Linked DNA regions of Oryzias latipes. The protein of the gene in region 2 interacts with the protein of the main gene of each other region in a pairwise test. Links are inferred from orthologs where the notes say so. Each region holds a gene or a part of one and is shown on either strand. Other genes may lie near its edges.

What was found.
Region 1: the proteins of cdk1 (region 2) and cdkn3 interact in a two-hybrid assay, tested with the Homo sapiens proteins (2 studies listed by BioGRID and IntAct). The link is inferred for Oryzias latipes from reciprocal best matches to the Homo sapiens genes CDK1 and CDKN3.

Annotation. Positions count from the first base shown.
Region 1 is NC_019880.2:1,394,340-1,401,486, reverse strand, and holds the start of cdkn3 (cyclin-dependent kinase inhibitor 3), read right to left. Parts: upstream 3,810-7,147; intron 3,745-3,809; coding exon of another isoform or gene 3,703-3,744; exon of another isoform or gene 3,574-3,702; intron 2,740-3,573; exon of another isoform or gene 2,595-2,739; intron 2,568-2,594; exon of another isoform or gene 2,412-2,567; intron 2,163-2,411; 5' UTR 2,160-2,162; coding exon 2,080-2,159; intron 2,009-2,079; coding exon 1,953-2,008; intron 1,867-1,952; coding exon 1,822-1,866; intron 928-1,821; coding exon 705-927; intron 310-704; coding exon 278-309; intron 204-277; coding exon 100-203; intron 1-99. Other genes in the region: uncharacterized protein LOC105356878, read left to right, coding at 3,703-3,744, 3,810-4,129, 4,858-4,979, 5,055-5,175, 6,295-6,433, 6,513-6,617, 6,689-6,772, 7,100-7,147. UniProt on the Homo sapiens protein: May play a role in cell cycle regulation. Dual specificity CC phosphatase active toward substrates containing either phosphotyrosine or phosphoserine residues. Dephosphorylates CDK2 at 'Thr-160' in a cyclin-dependent manner.
Region 2 is NC_019873.2:1,584,097-1,591,243, forward strand, and holds cdk1 (cyclin-dependent kinase 1), read left to right. Parts: upstream 1-3,748; 5' UTR 3,749-3,756; intron 3,757-3,796; exon of another isoform or gene 3,797-3,941; intron 3,942-4,105; 5' UTR 4,106-4,111; coding exon 4,112-4,148; intron 4,149-4,437; coding exon 4,438-4,594; intron 4,595-5,027; coding exon 5,028-5,151; intron 5,152-5,434; coding exon 5,435-5,605; intron 5,606-5,674; coding exon 5,675-5,838; intron 5,839-5,951; coding exon 5,952-6,093; intron 6,094-6,197; exon of another isoform or gene 6,198-6,338; coding exon 6,339-6,455; 3' UTR 6,456-6,551; downstream 6,552-7,147. Other genes in the region: ctu2 (cytoplasmic tRNA 2-thiolation protein 2), read right to left, coding at 6,792-6,852, 7,142-7,147. UniProt on the Homo sapiens protein: Plays a key role in the control of the eukaryotic cell cycle by modulating the centrosome cycle as well as mitotic onset; promotes G2-M transition via association with multiple interphase cyclins.

The DNA.
Region 1 (7,147 bases), on a different chromosome or scaffold from region 2:
TGGACACAAACGATTTATTGTTTTATTTATTTCTGCATGAATAAATGTATTTAAGGTCATTTTCTTAGTTTCCTGCAGACAGAAGAGGAGCGTCCTCACCTTCACGGTCTGGATGGCTCCTCTTCCTCGCAGCTCCCTGAGGAGCTTGATGGCGTCGCTCGCCGTCATGGTAACGGAGAGCTGAAGCAGCAAACAAGCTGCGACTGAGGAGGAGAGGACAGCGTGAAGGAGGAGGAGGAGGCGTCCGGACTTCAAAACACAAAGTTTGGCTTCTCACTCAGAGCGGATCGTCCCAGACCTCCAAAGCAGCTGGAACAGAAGAACGGCTGAGGTCATCCGAGGTTCAAACCAGTTTCTGATCTGGAGCCAAAACTGGATTTAAACGGCAGAATTCATGAAGAAAACTGGAAAACTGTGGAAAAGTCTGAATTTGCGCCTCATTTCTGTACATTGTTCAATTCTACTTTAGCTACAAATAAAAAATACTTTTTAAAAACACTAAACATTGGAGAAAGAAGGAATTAGTCTGAGAGAATAAGTCTGGACTGAAGACGAGCAAAAGCAGCTGAGGGTCAAAAATCCTAAAAGATTTGGAAAATTGAATTTCTAAAGAAAACGTTCAGGAAACAGATCTGAGTGGAGCTTTGCTGAGCTACACACTCAGACGTCGCAGCGTTTTCATCGATTGTAGCACGAAGACTCACTGGATCAGCGTCTTCCTGCCGCCCTCCAGGTGGCGCTGCAGCTCGTCCAGGATCCGGCAGCACTGCTCCAGCTCCGGCGCCTCTCCGTCGGGGATGGGCCAGTGCTGCACCGTGAGGCCTCGCCGCTCGTACGCCTCCAGCAGGGTGGGGACTCGGTACCTGCTGAGCTCCCCTCTGGTGCAGAAAACAAGCACATCCTGCACCCCCTGGTTGTGAAGCTCCTCTGAGGAGGAGGAGGAGGTGGAGGAGGGTCAGAGCACAGAGAAGATCAACCGAAGGTCTTTTAGGAACAAACTATGGAAAGAACCAAAGATCTATCTACAACAATCCTGATCCTGATTAGAGCTTCAAACGCATAAAAGGTCAAAGGTTCAAGACAAACAGTAGGAAAAATTAGAGTCAGATTGAGGAGGATTTATAACGTTCTCATGACTGTGAGGCATCAAAGACGTAGCTTCAGACAGAATTAGGAGCTGCTGAAGTCCAGAATGTCACAATCCTGTTCCTCCGATTGTCTGGTGGCGTTCCTCAGGGATCAAAGTCTGGACCTCAGACGTTTTCATTCGTTCAACGTTTCTAAAACTTTGGTTTTGGTTTTATAAATGTCTGAAAGTAAAGAGAATCTGTCCTGAAGTTCCAGGAAACGTCAGTTCCGGATTGGTCAGATGATCACACCTGCCAGCCGCTCGTCAATACGCGACTTTAAAACGTAAACATTTTTCTAATTTGTGTCTCTTTCTTAAGATTTGCCTGTTTTTAGTCGCTCTTCGTCGTTCTCAGGTGAGCTCTCACACCTGCCAAAGGAAGCAAACTCTCAGAGGAAGCGACCTCAAGGTCGCTCTCTAGAATAAAAGCAGATCGGCGGTTTGGAAAACATTTTATCTTAAAAAGATCAGAACAAGAAGAACTTTGAAAAGACGAATAAATTTGCTTTTTTTTTTCCAGAGTTTAGGGTTTGAAACCAAACAGGTTTAAAGTTCAGGTGAAAAACATCTTTTTAACGCGTGGCATGAGTTCAAACCTGCACATCTTTCTAAAGGACATTTCCTACGCGGTTGGAAACATGAAGGATTGTTTGCATTACGAGTCAGAAGAAAACGCCGGTTGTGAGACTCACCAACGTCTCTCTGCAGATCCCTGCGGATGTTTTTGTATTTGCAGCCTGGAATCCAGAGAAAAACAGTAAGTTATTTCCCTCTGCTTATTAACAATGTGAAACAGAACTACACCTGGTGGAATCCTGTTTACCTGGAAGTCCACATATTCCAAGGAACTGTGAAGACTCGACCGCAGACAGAGGTAACCTTAAAGCACAACACAGCTGTGAATGATGGACGGAGGATCTGAACGGATTAAAAAAAATCCCTTTCCATACCAAGAAATGTGCAGAGGAGTCAGATCTTCATCTCCCACATCCTCATCCTCAGATGAAGAGTCAAACTCATTTGTTCTCATTTCCTGAAACAAACACATGAAGAGAAAGTTTGTTAAAATATTACTGATCCAGAATGCTCTATTTTTTTAAAGACAGGTTATTAGTAGTTTAAAAGTGTTTAAATGTGCTGCCAAAGAAACTTCTTTAAAAAACGTACTTGATAATATTTTTCAACCCACGTGAGGACAAATCACAAATGTCTACTTTAGTCATTAAAGTAACTTAAATCAAATAAAATAAACGGATGGGATTGTCTGTAAAGCTAAACTAACCTCATATTCAGCTTCAAATAGAATCAGAAATGGTTTATTTATCAGCTCGTTCTCCTCACCTCGCTGTGTTTTTTTCCTCTTTGGTCTTTTTTGACAGCGATAGTTTGAAAATGGTATCGTCCAATAGGATTGGAGGGTTTATAAACCCCGCCTACTCTGTAAACAAAATGATTAAAGGTGCGTTCGATCCTTTTCCGGAGTTGTCGAGGCGGGCGGCGTGAGGAAAGATAATGATTTGTTCGACGTCGGAAGCAAGAAAAGGTGCGTTTCTTTTTGTCCCGCGTGGGAGCCTGAATGCTGCTAGAGAGGAGCTTTTCATTTGACAAAAGTAAGTATTTTCAGAAGTTTTTTTGAACTTTAAAATGACAAAAAATAGAATAAAAATAAAAAAGAAGCGGCCGTTTACAGTGCCACTCTGTGATGACGTCACTATTCTAATAAACACCAGTCTGTTTATTAATGTTAATCACATGTGACATTAAATTAAAATATTACTGTTTCTATTAATTAAAAAAGACCTTATTAATATCAGATTTATAAAAATAAAATAAATACAGTTATGATTATGAAGACCAGAAAACAGTGACTTTTTATGAAGCAGAATCAATCCTACAAATCATAATTAATGTAATTCATTTTGCACTAAAATGATGTTATTGAGTCCAATAAAGGCTTTTTAATGTCCAAACCTCCGTTTTAAATGTAGAAATATGACATTAGCAGAACATAATTAATTATCTTGTTGAAGTTTTCTTCAAAATCAAACGAGTCCTGATAATGTTGGTCTGCAGCGGGGGGGGGGGTTGTTTTTCTGTGGGGACACGGTCGTGTCACGAATCCTCTGCAGGAACCTGCTGTCCACTCAGAGCAGCAGAGCCGGCCCCCCAGGACCAAACCAGGGTTTTCCCAGCAGACTTTTCTGCTTTTTCTGAACATTTTAGGAGGAAATCTGACAAAACTGATGAGCGTCTTTGAGACGGCGAGTTTGATTATGAGTTCATCATTCATCGGTCAATCCTCGTTAAAATGCAAACACGTTTTCTAGAACATAAATGTAAACGAAAGCGGCAAACTGCACATCCTGCATGGGGGGGGTTGCATGCTGCCCGTCCTTCTGGCTGGTGACTCATAAGGAGGAGTCTCGGCGCTCGTTTCCCTGCAGGTTCAGGGCCGCCGTGCCACTTCCTCAGCAGAGCGCTGCTGGCAGGAGCAACACCTGAGCAGGTAACGGCGCTCAAACAGCAGAAGCCTTTCCGATCAGGACGGCGCCGTTTGTGTCTCTCTGCATATCATGAAGCCTCAGGAGGCCCGCCTCGTCCACGAAATCTCAAAGGTAAGGAGCCCGAGCAAAACAAAGTGCAAACGCGGCAGACGGTCTCTGAATGCCGCCTCTTCCAGCTGCAGAGCGCGGTCGGCGAGCTGAAGGCGGGCTTCGGCAGCGCCCTGCTGGAGCTGGGTCAGATCCAGCACGGAGACCTGTACCTGAGGGAGGAGCTGCAGGAGAGCCGCAGGAGCTGCCGCGACAAGGCTCTTCGCCTGGAGGCGCTGGTGGAGGCGCTGCGGGTGAGACGCTCCGTCCGACGGCCCCCGCTGTGGCGAGGAGGCCAGTCCGGTAACAGATGTGGTCACTTCCAGGAGGAGCTGGAGGCGATGAGGAGTCAGGTCCTGCAGCTGCACAGCAGCAGAGCTCAGCCGGAGGCAAAGAAACAAACACAAAGGTAAAAAAAAACCTTTTTATGAGCTTCATGGATGCTCTGACATCAGGAATCTTCATCGCTCGTTTCTTCAGCCTCACAGATATGGAGTGATATTGATGCCACCAAGTTTCACACTAAACGTTCTAATTCGAAAATATTAAATTTTTGCCTTAAAAACATTTTTTTTACAAATGTTGGCAGCTGTTTCACGCTAAACTGAAAATTATGAGAGCAAAATCAAAAACAGGAAAACAGTGAGATGAGACACAACGCATTTAAAAACAGTGTTGCAAACTAAAAAAAAACCTTTTTAAAGCAAAAAAAAAAATTTTTTTTTTTAAATGTTTGTGAAGGCTACAGAGCCCCTAAAGGGACATTGAAGAAAAAAAACAATTGAAGTGGAACAAAATAAATAAATAAGTAGTTTGCTCCCGTTACTATCTGGTGAGCACCAGTTCGTTTTTTTGTTTGTTTTTACTTCAATTGTTTTTTCTTTCCGTTTATTTTTTTTCCCAATGGCCCTTCAGGGGCTCCGTAGAAACAAAAAACAAAAAGTGAAAGCAAATTTTTAATATTTTCATTTACAACTGAGAAAGTTTTGTTTGCAACGTGGTGCCATAGAAATCACTCCACACCCAGAAACTCCTGCTTTGGAGTCAAACATGAGAAGTTTCATCCAAACGTGTGGAATTGAACCGACAGACCCAGAAATGGCGGCTGACGTTTGACAGTTTCCGTCTGATGTCCAGCTGTGATCCGGCAGGTGAGGACCGCGCAGGTGTGGCCGCGCCTCCCGTCCGCCCCTCCAGAGGGAAACTGCTCCTCCGCTGTTTCCTGCAGGGCCTAAAAGCCGGGCTGAGTGAGGGCACAGGTCAGACCCCCCCCCAAAAAAAAGTGGAATTAAACAAACGTGGGACGGTTTCACCAACATCACCTGCTGTTGCAGACGCTCGACACCAGGTGGCGATGCAGCTGCTGCACTCGGAGTGGGAGTACGTGTCCACGCTGAACCAACTGTACGACCGGTACCGGACCCCCCCGGCCCACCAGCTGATGGGGGAGCCAAAGTGAGTGAAGGGGGGGCATGCATGTGTGTGGTTTAGGGGCGGGGCTAATTTTGCTATTTTTTTTTTTAGTATTTCTCATCTGAAATTGATTGTTTACGTCTGTGATAACCGTGTTTTGTTTATGACTCGATGCCTCCTGATGGAATGCAGTTCTCATATCTATGAGTTTGTAACCAAACAACACGAAGGATTCTAGTAACTGTCAGAACAAAGTCTGTAAAGTCATTACTTCATCTTATTCATAATAGATTACAAAGCAATGGAATCAAACCTCCCTTCTTAGAGGTGATCATTAATGAAACCCTCATAAAAGATGAAAAAACGCAACAATAAATCACTAACTGTAACCTTTAAACAAAACGTCTTCTGGAACTTTAGTACAAACAATAGACGCGACAAAGAAAGCTTTTATTTTCTGTTCATCTAAAACCGAAACATTAAAACATTTCTTTCATCGTTTAAAAACATTCTGGACCGATGTTCATAATTGGCTGTTTTTAATATTCCCTCTCTTCTTTATGGAATCCTGGACCTGGAAGTTTCTGATGTCAATCTTATGATTTTGTGGAAACACTTTTTTATTTATGTACATGGAAACACATCTTTGTTTAGTAGCTTTTTTATTTAGTTTTTCTGATTATTTTAAGTGTCTCAAACAAAAACAAGAAAACTACAGTAATGTATCAAACCTATTGTTATTTTAAATTGTTGCCTTTCCTATTTTTATTTTGTTGGATTTTTGTACGCGCATTTCAAATGTTTGCTCACCCTATCTTGGTTTGAATATGAATTGAAAAAAATCTGAAATAGATTGAAATAATTTAAATGAAATCAGAAACATTACAAAACATTAACAAAACTGCTGTTATCTTGTATTTATGTTTTTGTCATCACTAGAAAAATATAACTTTTTCTTGGTTTTTGTGTAAACATAATTTTTCTCTGATTAAAAATCTTAACTCTAAATCAAATTGAATTTTTTAAGAGGTTTTTTTTTTCACATTTTTTTAAAATATTAGTCTTTTCCTTCATCGCTTTTTTTTGTTTATATCGAGAAGCCCTGCCGCCCCCTGGTGTTTGGCGGCGGTATGACACTCAGCTGGTTTCTCTGTCATGCAGTCAGACGTACGTGAAGCTGCTGGAGCAGCTTCTGCAGCGACACCTCCTCTTCAGGAACACGCTGCAGGAGCGCCTCTCCACCCAACACTGGAAGTCTCTGGTTGGAGACATCCTGGTGCAGCTCATCGGTCAGAACGACGTAAGGCGACGTCTCCTCGCGTGGCGCCGGTGCGGCCGGTTTCAAACGGTGCTCAGAGCGGCTCTTTTCTGATGTCCAGACAGCTTTTGCAAACGCGTACCTGAGCTACACCTCCACCCTGGCCTCCTTCCTGTCCCTGGAGCTCAGCAGACCAAAGCAGGCGGAGAAACGTCAGACAGAGCAGGTACCTCCTCTGATCCGTCCGTGCAGAGAGGATCTTTGAAGACATGCAGACGCAGCGTTTCTGTCCTTCAGACAGAGGAGGAGGAGGAGCTGAAGCTTCTCTCGCTGCTGCTGGCGCCGGTCACTCGGATACACAGTTACCTGAGTCACATCCAGGTGAGTCTGCATCCACCTGTTCACTCCATCATTTCTCCGTCCGTCCATGGCGTCTCGGAGGATCAGAAACAAAATTCCGTTTTGCAGATTCGCCTTTAAAACAGAAAATCTGGAACCTGTTCATGTGAAGTTGTAGTTGTGGAACGTCAGATGTTCCAAACTGGGATCGGACTTTCCCGGTAAAGAAGAACATTCTGGCTCTTTGAGTTTAAATGGACGCAAACAGAGATCTTAAACGAGGATCCGGGGTTTCAGGAAACACGGCTTTCATTTTAAGCTCCAGTTCCTCAGATCTGAAGAGAACGTGGTCTTTGTTTGGACCTGCAGAACCTGCTGCAGTGGACCGGCAAAGAGCATCCAGACTGCAGCCTCCTG
Region 2 (7,147 bases):
AAGATGCATGAGTACATCAAGCTCAAGGCCCCAACTGACAGTGTGCTCAGTGAATGTCTCAGACAATGGAGAGCAGAGGATACAGTGCTGGAGGACAGATCCTCATGGGAGGACAAACCCCTGCATGGGATGTACCACCGGACCATAACTGAAGTGGCTGATATCAAGAAGTCCTACCAATGACTAGAAAGGGCTGGCCTACAGGACAGCACCGAAGCGCTCATCCTGGTGGCCCAGGAACAAGCCCTGAGCACCAGAGCCATAGAGGCTCAGATCTACCACACCAGACAAGACCCAAGGTGTAGATCTACCACACCAGACAAGACCCAAGGTGTAGATCTACCACACCAGACAAGACCCAAGGTGTAGATCTACCACCCCAGACAAGACCCAAGGTGTAGATCTACCACACCAAACAAGACCCAAGGTGTAGATCTACCACACCAGACAAGACCCAAGGTGTAGATCTACCACACCAAACAAGACCCAAGGTGTAGATCTACCACACCAGACAAGACCCAAGGTGTAGATCTTCCACACCAGACAAGACCCAAGGTGTAGATCTTCCACACCAGACAAGACCCAAGGTGTAGATCTACCACACCAGACAAGACCCAAGGTGTAGATGTTCCACACCAGACAAGACCCAAGGTGTAGGCTGTGCAAAGAGGCGCCTGAAACAATCCAGCACATGACTTCAGGGTGTAAGATGCTGGCAGGTAAAGCATACATGGAGCGCCACAATCAAGTGGCTGGAATAATATACAGGAACATGTGTGCAGAATATGAACTGGAAACCCCAAGGTCAAAATGGGAAACACCCCTGAAGGTGGTATAGAATGAGAGGGCAAAGATCCTGTGGGACTTCCAGATCCAGACTGATAGGATGGTAATGGCGAACCAACCAGACATTGTAGTGGTGGATAAAGAAGAGAGGAAAGCCGTTGTGGTGGATGTGGCAGTGCCAAGCGATGGGAACATCAGGAAGAAGGAACATGAGAAACTGGAGAAATACCAGGGACTCAGAGAAGAACTGGAGAAAGCCTGGAAAGTGAAGGTGACAGTGGTGCCTGTGGTAATTGGAGCACTCGGGGCAGTAACCCCCAAGCTGGAGGAGTGGCTACAACAGATACCTGGAAAGACCTCAGACCCCTCAGTCTAGAAGAGCGCAGTGCTAGGAACAGCTTTTTTTGTTTTTGTTTTTTGCTAGGAACAGCTGAGATCCTTCGCAGGACCCTCAAGCTCCCTCTGGTAGAGGACCCGAGCTTGGAGGAAAAACCACCCATGGAGGGTGAGACAGGCGTTATTATATATTCAGTGAAATAATGTAAACCACTGGACTGTAATGTTGATTGTTGATGTGCAGGGGCCTGTTTCAGAAAGGAGGTTCAACCAACTCTGAGGTTAAACTTGAACTCTGAGTTGGTCTATCGAGAGATTAACAACTCTGAGTTTCCTGTTTCAGAGAAGCTGATCAGAGTTAGATCAATCAACTCTGAGTGGACTGATTCGGAGTTAAGCGTGCGCACCGCAACTATAAGAAGCCATTATCAATGGAGCGCAGATATTACGAGTCACCATGGCAACCGTGAAAAAAAGAGGTCTGCGTATTTTTCTCCAGCTGAACTTGACATGCTGCTGCAGAGTTACAGTGAATATGAGCACATATTCCAGAAGAAAAGCAACACCGCTACATCTGCAAAACAGAGACAGTTAGCGTGGGAAAACATAGCTGCTCAAGTTAATGCGCAAGTTTGCATTTAAATCATTGTTATAAAATATTGACTGTAATAACTTTTTAAATAGCGTAAGGTGTGAAATAAAAAATGGTGATATTTAGGTGTACTTTTGAAGTGTTATTCCTGGTGTAATTGCATGAAATGCTGCATAGTGTACAGAACCAATCTGGGGGAAAAAATGCATTTAACGTCGGTAATGTTTAGAGGACTTTTTTGTTAACCTTCCCCTCTTGCAAACGTTGGTCAGTTTAATATTAATACATGCAATTGTGTTTTTAAAAGTGAACTTTTGTCTACCCTTGTATTGATCAAGTGGTATAGGTTTATATGGGATTAAGAAAGTAAGCAGTGCTAGCAAATTGTGTTTCCAAAAAGTAATTGTTACATTAATCTAATTCAATGTCCCTGTTTTCATTTTCATGTAGATGCAATCCTGCAGGAATTAAAAGAACACGGCAGCAGCTAAAAATGAAGTATAAAAACATAATTCAATCAGGTCAAATTTGAGCATGTCATGGATGTAGGCTTTGTTGACAATATTTGACATATGAAACATCTACATAGCAATATCTAATGTTGTTTTCATTGTATATATGTAATTGACTGCAATGAAAAACGGTAACGCTCAAACAAAAACGTATGGGGAAATGACAAAAAATCGAGTCTAGGTCTCAAAATCCTCGTACGAGGTAAATGTAATTCTCTACGAATTAATGCAGCCTCCTCGTCTATTGGGTCCTCCAAAAAAGGACAAGCCATTCTTGTCACTTGTCTCTGTGTGACGGACATTTGGGCAATGAAGGTTAAAGCGAAAAATATCGCTTCGTCTTTAAAAAGGGGAGGGGACCGGCAGAAACCTTGAGTTTAGAGAATAAAACCTGCTCCCCACCAGGTTAGGTTCACAGCGTAAGTAACCATGGACACTGACTCAGAGTATAAGTTACCTCTCTTTCAGAAACGGGTTTGACTTACTCTGCTTTCTCTGGTTTAACAAACCTCCCATTCTGAAACAGAAAACCCAGGGTTTCCCTGATTTCAGGGTTAACGCACTCAGAGTTTACACTTAACCTCCTTTCTGAAACAGGCCCCAGGTGGCACATTATCTATAATGTTTTCTTTAACCTATTGTGTCCTTTCTAATAGTTTTAGAAAGAAAACTCAATGTTATTTATTTAAAAAATAAACACATTTTCTTGCTAAGTTATAAGAATAAAATCATTTTAAAAAATTGAGAGTTTTTGAGAAAAAGCAAAGTCCAGAGTATGGCCAGAAGAGCAGCTGGATGACTACATTGGCTGCATGTAGGCCTGGTGCATGAGAAACCCGGGTTTGATTCCCATGGGGTGCAATGAGCTTCATCCAGTGTTAGGCTCCTGCCTAACTATGTAGCCAGAAAGTGTCGGTCCCGGCCTAAAGTAAATACAGGATTGTGTCAGGAAGGCCATTCAGTGTACATATCTCTGCCAAACCGACTGCAGATCAGTGAAAGCTGAAGGGATATGGTGAACAGCAACAACAGAGGATGAAGACGAGTGTAACAACGAGAGACAGCTTTCCAGGGAAACGATTAAGACTAAAACGACGGTGAAGATAAAAATGTTTAATACAAAACAAAAAGGAAGTAAAATTCTTTAAAAACTATTAAAAGCGGAAAAAATTAAAATTTAAAAAGAAAGGTTTTAAAAGGAAAAAAAGAAAGATTGAAATATGGAAGTCAACAAAGGGACGGTTTCAGAAACGAAAAAAGCTGCAAGCACTAAATCTAAAAACCAACGAACGAGAAAGGAAAAAAACTTTAGTGGGGAGACAGGAAGACTGATCCAGAATGTGTTTTCGTTCAGGCACGCAGACAGGAGACCTGTATGACGTCAGCGCGTCCAGCTACGTTCCCGCTCGTTGATTAGCTGTTTTGAACAGCGTCGAGCGCGCTGATTGGTGCGTTTTGAAGCCGAGTCCTGCGCTCAATTTTAAAGAGTGTCAGCTTTGTATCCGCAGCGTGAGCAGCGACAGCACGGAGGTAAGAAGCGGCAACCGTTAACGGCTTCAACCGGTAGATCACGACATGAAATGGTACCGCTTTGATATGAGGAGAGGCGCGTTGGCGGACGGACACGCGCCTTCCGGTAACGGCTCGGTTCGGTTTTCCCCCAACCTGGTTTTCAGATTTGGAGAGGCCTCAGCTGGCCGGTGAAAGTCGGTGGGGTTGGTTCGATTCCTACTGTTTTTATTCTGTCTCTGTAACGTCGAGCTGCTCGTTTTACGGTTTTCAGGCCTGAACGTTCAGCGGTTCTCAACGGAGGATCTGACCGTTTGGAGTCTGAACATCTGCAGAAGTCCGAGCTGAGAGGATTTGTCTTCTCTTTCAGGGACAGATGGAGGACTACGTGAAAATAGAGAAAATCGGAGAAGGTTGGTGGAGTAAAAATGTTTTTGTTTTTCTAAAATGTTGTCCAGATTTTTTTGGGGGGTGAAACCCACCAAAGAGGCCCACCTGGATGCTGAACTTGGAAGTCCTTGAAAGTTCCTCCACCCGTATATGGAGATGTCCCAGGATGACGTCTCAAGCTTTGCTTTGGTTCAGATCCTGGCTCTTCATTCTGATCATGGTCCCCTGCACCACAATCTGAGTGATGGGGTGACTGCAGTGGTTCTGGGACGTCTGAGTCCTCATCCCCTGACTCTGCTCTGGTGTCTGCAGGGACATACGGGGTGGTGTACAAAGGCCGGCACAAGTCCACGGGACAGGTGGTGGCCATGAAGAAGATCCGCCTGGAGAGTGAGGAGGAGGGAGTTCCCAGCACCGCTGTCAGGGAGGTGTCGCTGCTTCAGGAGCTGAAGCACCCCAACGTCGTCCGGTATGCTGCACGTGTGCGCTGAACAGGTTCCTGACATTAATGTCCATGCGCTGCAGGTAAAATGCAGTGAGGTGATGTCCGGGTCAAAGGTGCTGGGTTTTAGTCCCTCTTGTCTCATCTGAACGTTTGGGGATAATCCAGATGTTTGTTCTTGTTCAGCACTTCTTTCTCCTTGAACTCTCCTGTGGATCCATGATTGTTCAGAAGTCCCTTTCTGACTGTTGGATCATGAACTCTGACCTGAACACGTGCACACGTGTAATGGGAGGCCTCCACTTGCTTCCATGTTCTTTCCAGAGGGGTCCTGCTTGGGTTTTTAACTCTTTAGTCCTTCTGTAGGGATGTTCAGAGTAGCGTTAATGCCGAATCCCTCAACTCCCTCCGCTGATCTTGGAGGTGCAATAATGGTTCCACCTTTGTGTTCACCTGAAAGGCTCTTGGATGTCCTGATGCAGGAATCTCGCCTCTACCTGATCTTTGAGTTCCTGTCCATGGACCTGAAGAAGTACCTGGATAGCATCCCGTCAGGACAGTACATGGACCCCATGCTGGTCAAGGTAAAACACTCAGCGCTTCGTTTTTAGATTTCCTACTCTTTGTTGTGACAAACGCTTTCTATTAAGCTGAACATCCCGGTTTCAGCTGGGGGAGGGGGGTCTCTGAATGATAACACACCAGGTTCCTCACTAACCACGGACTGCAGCTCCAAACATCACAGATCTTCATCAGTTCTTCTGAGGCAGCCATGATGCTTTGTGCTGCTTGTCTGTGAGGATGTTCTGGTGTGGAACTAGCAGTCTACCACTTTGAGCCTGTTCCCTTTTCTGCCCCCCCCTACAGAGCTACCTCTATCAGATCCTTGAGGGCATTTACTTCTGTCACCGAAGGCGGGTCCTCCACCGCGACCTGAAGCCCCAGAACCTTCTGATTGATAACAAGGGCGTCATCAAACTGGCAGACTTTGGCTTGGCCCGGGCCTTCGGTGTTCCCGTCCGGGTCTACACCCACGAGGTGGGAACCGCTCCGCTGCAGAACCCAACGCTGAGGTCTGCTCAGCTGATCCAAGCTTCTCGTTCTCAGGTTGTGACTCTGTGGTATCGAGCTCCTGAGGTCCTTCTGGGTTCCCCCCGATATTCAACCCCAGTGGACGTGTGGAGCACGGGTACCATCTTTGCTGAACTCGCCACCAAGAAGCCCCTGTTCCACGGAGACTCCGAGATCGACCAGCTCTTCAGGATCTTTAGGTACCGTGTGGGAGAACTATTCAGCTTCTTTCAGCGCACACACACACACACACTGATTCTACAAGGAGAAATCAGGTCTTGAAGAGTAAAGGGGCTCTATTGTCCGTCTGCAGGACTCTGGGGACCCCCAACAATGACGTTTGGCCGGATGTGGAGAGCCTGCCTGACTACAAAAACACTTTCCCCAAATGGAAGGAGGGCAGCCTGTCCTCCATGGTGAAGAACCTGGACAAGAACGGCCTGGACCTGCTGGCGGTGAGAAGTTCTTCAGATTATGAATAAAGTAGATCAAGTGGACATTTCTCATGGGGTGGGGTCAGCTGCAATCTCTTCGGGGGCTCCAAAGAAAAGCACCAAACTAAGGAACATTTCAGTCTTTTTATTCTTTAATGATCTCAGAACACCCTCCACCACCACCGGGGGTCAGCAGAACCCTTCAAAACCAGACCTTTACTTTTGAACATCCAGTTCCTCCTCAGTAACCCTCCTTGTGTTTTTAGAAAATGTTGATCTACAATCCTCCCAAGAGGATCTCTGCACGTGAGGCCATGACCCACCCATACTTTGATGACCTGGACAAGTCCACGCTGCCCGCCGCCTGCATCAACGGCGTCTGAAGGCCTGAGCCCCCCCGTTCTTCTGTAAATACTTGTGTGTTTGTGTTGGAAATATTTTCCAGAAAAATGTGTGAATAAAGGTTTTCATCAAGTGTTGGTGGGTGTGGCTTTTGTCCCTGCTGATGTCAGCAACCCTCTTCAATCCTGCCAAAGACCTGAGATGTTTGTTCTGGCTGCTGGATTTCTGCATTAGATGCAGAAACATGAAACCAAAACCATTTTAATAAAAGGCCACTAAGGTACAAAGAACTGATTTAGTCTCCCAAAACCGATCTGGAGGGAGCTACACCTGAACAAGCTTCTCTGCCCACCAGGAGTCTTCTTCCTCATGTCTGATCAGCTGCTGCCCTCCTCTTCCTCCAGCAGGAACTCACTGATCTCGTCCTTCATCAGAGACCTGCAGAAACGGCAACAATAAACAGCTGAAAGCTGCTTGGCCAAACCGCTCCGCCTTCAAGCGGAGTAAGTCTGAACATCTGCAGCGTGAAGCTCGTGTGGAAAACTGACAAACCAGCAGGTCTGCTCACAGAAACAGGACTATTTTAGAATAAAATCCAGTGATGACTGAGAGGTCAAGAATGACACTTCACTGTTTTCAGGAAAAGCTGCTGATGCAGTCTTGTGTTGTTCAGAAGCTTAAATGATGCTTAAACCTAAAACTACATGGAATAAAGGTTTGTCCTCACCTCCTC